2 linked regions of the Coturnix japonica genome follow. The protein of the gene in region 2 purifies or fractionates together with the protein of the main gene of each other region. This does not show direct contact. Links are inferred from orthologs where the notes say so. Each region holds a gene or a part of one and is shown on either strand. Other genes may lie near its edges. The genes, in order: PARVA and RSU1.

The links.
Region 1: the proteins of RSU1 (region 2) and PARVA purify together in Homo sapiens (affinity purification with mass spectrometry; 3 studies listed by BioGRID and IntAct, counting the BioPlex papers as one, with this or other methods). This does not show direct contact. The link is inferred for Coturnix japonica from reciprocal best matches to the Homo sapiens genes RSU1 and PARVA.

What each region holds. Positions count from the first base shown.
Region 1 is NC_029520.1:12,245,291-12,249,120, reverse strand, and holds part of PARVA (alpha-parvin), read left to right. Parts: intron 1-44; coding exon 45-64; intron 65-1,408; coding exon 1,409-1,470; intron 1,471-2,135; coding exon 2,136-2,204; intron 2,205-3,813; coding exon 3,814-3,830. UniProt on the Homo sapiens protein: Plays a role in sarcomere organization and in smooth muscle cell contraction. Required for normal development of the embryonic cardiovascular system, and for normal septation of the heart outflow tract.
Region 2 is NC_029517.1:18,291,079-18,293,690, reverse strand, and holds the end of RSU1 (ras suppressor protein 1), read right to left. Parts: intron 1,112-2,612; coding exon 1,009-1,111; 3' UTR 631-1,008; downstream 1-630. UniProt on the Homo sapiens protein: Potentially plays a role in the Ras signal transduction pathway. Capable of suppressing v-Ras transformation in vitro.

The sequences.
Region 1 (3,830 bases), on a different chromosome or scaffold from region 2:
ACTGTTTTGTTTTGTTCTGTTTTGTTTTGTTTTGTTTTCCATAGGGCATTTTCAGGAAGGCATGGTAAGTTCATTTCATTGTTATCTTCTTAAGTCATCCAAAGAGTACATCAGTTCTGGAATGAATGGTCAGTTTGATTAGTTTGCGAGGATTTAGAGGATTTCTAGTTGCCCTGGCAAATATATGAATATAGCTGCCACAGGATGTTCTGACAGTTAACAAAGGGAGAAAAGCATTGAAATCAGCGTGACCATCTTTAAAATGCATTTCAGTATTTCTCATCTCATGCTAGTCTGCAAGTGGTTTATGGTTTAGCCTCCAGAACATTATTGAAATAGTATTAATGATCATAAGCTCCTAGCATAATATTAAATGGTATCTTATGGTAAACTCACTGGTGAACATGTTGGCATTCTTGTATCCATTACCTGCTTACACTTTAATAACTTAAGGTCATTCTTCAGCGTGTTTCTGAGCCAGTAAGTCTCAAGGTTTGTACTGAGACTGGCCAAATGCCTGCCCAGCACAACACAGCCATCTGAGGAGCTTAGGTGGACACCCAGCTAGAATTCAGCATTTATTTCCTATATTGTCTCAGTTGTTGCCTTACTGCTGAGTTAAAGACTGGAGGCATGACATTTTCCCATGATATCTGAGAGCAGCCTTACTTCCTATAATGTCTGCCTTCTACAAATGCTCTTGGATGTACTCAGCATTTCTTTGACGAATATCAATGTAACTTTTTGTTGGGTCATTCTCTATCACTCATGTGGTTGTCCAAATGGCAATTGCTCTTTTTCTTTTCTCTCTTTTTTCCTCTTCAGAAGGTAACCACAGTGCTGCTGCAGTCATTTTACTTTATGTTGCCCGTCCTGCTAATCATGTCCTAAATTTCATGTCAGAATAGTCCAAAAACATGTATGCAAAAGATTTCTTTACAGCTGCGTAGTTGTAAGCTTGTTGAGGTGGTTAGTAACAGTGTAGCAGTCAGCTGAGCGATATATGCATATTGTGGCCTCTGGGGAAAATTTTCCTCTGTAGTAACTCCAGATGTAAAGTCATATTCTTCTGAACAAAATAAGTTGGTTACTTCAGCTCCCTGCATCTGGCTGTGTAAAGTTCAATGGATAAATATTCTACTCTTTGCTCATTTTTGAGAAACAAAGTTATTAAGTAGTCCAAGTTGTACTTGGAAATAGTGCTTTCTCCAAATAATAGAGAATAAGTTACAAGCAGCCTGAAGCAAGAGAGAAATATGCAAAATATATAGTACTTGGAATACAAAGGGACTATACTGAGACATTTTATTGATTCCGTTGTCTTAAACAATTGTGTGCTTAATCAAGTGTTTATCCTGTATTTGGACAAATGCTTCTAAGCATATTAACATCTCTGACTGTTTTTCAGAAAGAGATGCATTTGACACACTATTTGACCATGCTCCAGACAAGCTCAACGTAGTAAAGAAGGTTGGAATGATTCTATTTTAATAAGTACAGCTTGTGTCTACATGCTTGTGTGTGTATATGTAGTGTGAGTGTATGTATATAATATAAAATACTCATTGTTTGCATACATTAAATACAATTAAACTTAATGCTGAAAACAAAAATAGAGATTTATTATTATAATGTTTCTTTTTGATAGTATTTAGCAACATTAACTTAACTATGGAACACACAACAAAAAGTTTCTCAAAGTTTCCATCAAAAAGAAGTTCTTACTTCTTAGTGTGTGTTGATTAAAACCCAGCTGGGTTGGTTGAGTTTACTGATGCCAAAAAGGTATGGAGTTTACAACTGCCAGTAGCCTGACCTGGAGGATTTGGGCTCCTGTCAGATTCGAGTGAAGTCCAATTACCCACTTCCCTACAATCTGCCACAAGATAACTTTTTTGAAGCTGTTGTACTGTAACAGTGATTTTTTATTCATATACATCATGTTTATTTTATTTCAATTTATCATTATTTTTAAAAAAAAAATGTTTTTGAAAATCTCATAATTCAGTTATAGAGCCTAATTGTACCGCAGTCTCCTTGCTCTTGCAAGTTCTATTCTCAGTGCAGTATGTGCTCTGTGTCTGGAACAGGTGCTCAACTGAATAGACCTTCACTAAACTGTTTTCATGTTTCAGACTCTCATCACGTTTGTGAACAAGCATCTCAACAAATTGAATTTGGAGGTCACTGAACTGGAGACCCAGGTAGGATTTTGTAGCTTTTGTTGAAGGAGAGGGTCACTCATGCTGTGCAATGCACCGTGCCCCCAGCTTTATACAGAAATATAACTGAATTGTTATTGATCGTGCTCTGAGATGTTTTTTCAGTGGGAAACCCTTCAGTTTTAAATATATTCGTATGAGGAAAACCCTCACCAATTAAGCAGAAAAATCATAAGGGCAGCAACAGTTTTGTACTTTAATTAGCATAAAAATTAGTTAGCAGATGCTACCTCTTGGGTGCTGCTAAGTGCTGTAAGAAGAACATGTGCCTGTTTTGATCAGGAGAGGCTCTGTCTGCTCGGTTTGATACAGTTTCAAGATGAACAGTTGTTTCCTGCCTACCTTTACACTAGCAAGTAATCTCATGGGATTACAATGGTTCTATTCAGTGAGATGCATTCTTGAGACAGAAGCTGCTTGAGTGTATAGGCAGCTGTACAGTTGAGCTGCAGGCTTGATTGCACCACAGAAATAATGTAGTGCATGGTCTTCTTTTCCTGTTCTCAGATGCTAAATTGGCTAGAAAGTAGCTAAAAGAAAAGCTTTATTCTGTGGTATGAAAAAATCCCTATATGAACAATTGCAGCAAGAGGTCAGACAGGAAGGAGGCTACCCACACTAGAAGAAAAAACTGGTGTCTTCACAACAGGCTTTATTTAATGTCTTGATATGTGCTATTAAGGATCTCTGATTTATCTGACTTACTTTCACTCTGATAGAGGTTTTTTAAAGGTAAAATTGAGTTTTAGATGGAAAGGATCTGTAAGGGCTTTCAGACAAATGTTACTGTGCTTGCATATTGCATGGAAAAAAAAGGAAGTGTTATTCAAACATGCCTGGAAACACCTGAAGCATATATCCAAAAAGTACTCCCTAAGGTGAGAGGTCGTAGTTCTGTTGGTTGAACCAAAATAAGCTACCTCAGGAAGATAGAATGATAGAATCAATTAGACCCTTAAGATCAAAAAATGCCACCACTAAGCCATGTCCCTTAGTACCACATCCTCTTAAGTACCTCCAGGGAAGCTGACTCCTCCACTTCCCTGAGCAGCCTGTTCTAACACCTACCTGGCCATCTTTTCTGTGTAAAAGTTCTTCCTGCTATCCTGCTGAAATCTCCCCAGTGCAACTTGTGGGCATTTCCTCGTGACTTATCCCTGAGGAAAGAGACTGACACCCACCTCGCTTACCGTCTCCCTTCAGATGATTGTTTCCTTCTGGTATCTCAGAGTTTCATTATAGTAGACAATGCCATAGGGTTACGAGTGAGATGCCTTGAACGAAGTCTCATGAATGCTGTTATTTTTTAAATAGAGATAAATGTAGAACGTGAAAATTATCATTCTTTATTCCTTTATTTCCTTCAACATCCTGAATTTCAATGTAGTCATCAGGCTGCACCTTGGTTGTGCTTTTCTCCGCTCAGAGAATGCATGCTGTTTGATAGCTTGAAAACTGGTTGTTCTGATTTCCTGCAACTAACAGAAGAGAAAACAAAAACGCAGATCAATGTCACTGACCGTTGCTTTCTGCAGTAACTTTATTCTGTGCGTGTATTCAGAAAACATACTGAGAAATGTCTTTTTTACAGTTTGCAGATGGTGTGTA
Region 2 (2,612 bases):
AAACCATTCGAAAACCGCTGTCTGTATTATTATTTTTCCCTCACACCGATAAGACCCGAAGCTGTTTCAGATGTTAAACAATTTGTTGTTTAATCGCTTCACAACTGCAGCCTCTGAGCTTGGTTTTGGTGCGGGTTTTGTATGGATAAATATAGCACCTGTGGCATTTTCAACAGCCATTTGGAACAGCTCTTCAGTACAGCGTTTTCATGGCAGAGATTAAACACATTATTTGGGTCTTCTGCTTTAAAAAAAATTGCTTTAAAAAATTGGCAGAAGTACCATCTTCTTCAAATGAGAAAGCTCACTTTCCCCAAACTGAGGCTGGCAATTGGCAGCTCCTTACAAAGATAAGGTTTTTTTTTCTTTCCTCTTTCTCTTCCCTTACTCTCTGGTTTCAAAATAACCTCCAAGGCAAAAATGCAGGGCACAGCCATGGGAAAAAATAAATTGAAACTGATTAAAAATGTTACGTCCTCGAACAGAAGGCTTTAAATTTTAACTAACTCACATCAGACAAAATGTCATTATATTCCTATGGAAGAAAGGAACGCATCGCAGGAAACGGGACACGTGCATTCTTCACGAACGTTGCTGCTCCGAAGTCCTACTGAAGAAATCAAAGCGCAGTACAAATAGAGACCTTTATTAAAATCGTTTGGAATATGATGTGAAATTTAATATCGTATAATATAGGTGCAAACCCCTGATATTAACAGGATGTGATACATGTGAACAGAGGGCATTAACATGTGTATAAATAGAAAAGCTAAAATGTGTTTGACAGTGATATATTAAATGGCTACATAAATGTGACCGTAATTAGGAGACTATGTAATTTGGTATTCCTTAAGCAGTATCCTCTAAAGCAGCACATGCGGTAAATTGCTTTTACCTCTAGTCTCTGCTTCCTTACAATATGAGTAATAGGAGATGTGCTGGAATATTATAGGCACATGCAAAAGAAACGTAAAAAAATATATAAAACCAGAGGCACAAGCTGGAGACTCATTTGTTCCTGGCTGCGAGAGGCTTACGGCTGATCTTCTTTGACTTGTCATTGTTCTTCTTCGGAGGTTCAGGGTTCGCTTGCATGTGTCTGCCATAAAGACTGCAAGGAAATGAGACAAAGAACATTTGTTATCAAACCATTAAATACAAGCTTTTGATCTGCGGCGTGTTCAATGAGACATATGGTTACTAGAAATAAAAAACCACGGAAGGTCATTACATTTATTTTGTCTCAACACATTGATTCCTCTGTAAGATCTCATGCTGCAGTCCGTATTACCAGTCTGTTTGTGACTTACCAGAGTAACACCAGGAGGAGTAGGGGCTTTTGGAGCAATCAGCTCTGCCTTCAGAAACTAGCAGCCTTTCCTTGGCAGTTATGGAACTGAAGCACAGAGCACTGTGACGACGCATATTCAAGTCGACAATGACAAAAATTGGGTTGAGCTGGAGAGATAGAGTGCTCTCTTAAAGCAAAGTGAGCATCATCCCTAACCAGAAAACCCAAGGGCTTGATAATGTGACAGAGAGCAATAGTGTCACAGCCTTCTTTGCTGCTCACACATGATTGATAGTACTGGGACAGCTACCAACACATCACTGCCATATTAGTAAGTACCACTGATTAAATGTTGACAAAGTATCCTACAATTAAGACAGCAAGCATTCATAGCAATGCTAAATAGACTACATGGCTGAGAGGATCTTGCTAAATATCACATAGTAATTAATAGATAATTTATGAGTAATCCTAACGAAACTAAATTAAAAGCACCAAAAATAAGCACAGCTCAAACCTAACTTCCCTTCTTCGCACACAGTGCTTTCTGAAGATGCACTATGCGGGGGTGTCAGTGTACCCAGAAGGGAGCAGGGACAGGCCTTGTTTCTGCTCATTCAGCTGTACAAACAGCTGGAATGGTGACACAAACACTGACATCCCCCTGGAAGGTGTCCCCCTGCTAACAGCTCACCTTCGTGCCACATTCGGCTGTTGCCAAAGAGGCTGAGCACTGACTTCTGCAATCTGAGAGGACTGCTGCTGCTGCTGCTGAAGAAGGTAAAGGTGCAGGTCCCTTGTGTCACTACGCTTTTGGCACTCAGCTTCATAGTTCTGCAGTGGCTAATGGCCCGAGTGTGTAACTCAGAGATAAAGCAACTCTTTACCTGAGTCACCTTTTCTACTTTCCAGGCTGAAACTACTTTCAGAAGCAGAGGAATTGCCCAGCTTCTTAGACAGGGCCTGGTGGACTACGTGGCCAACTTCATGCAAGAGACGTTGAACAAGAATCCAAAGAGACAGAGATACCCTTGAGTTACCACGCTACACAGTGTGGCTCTGGTGGAGCTATTTATGGCAGGCACAGAGAGGTTGTAGCTGCTGGAGCTGGGAGGTTAAAATCTTGCACCTGCTCTGAGCTTTATTGTGCAGCACCTGGAGGATACTTCAGCCTCGGGGTTCTTGGATTGCATAATGGGATTAGAGCTTCTGGCAGAGCACTGAGGAGAGGCAGTGCTCGTTTTCACCTTCTCAGCAACTGCAGCTGTACATCATGCTGCTGAGCAGGCTGCTGTCAAGGCGCACTGTGCCCAAAACAGCC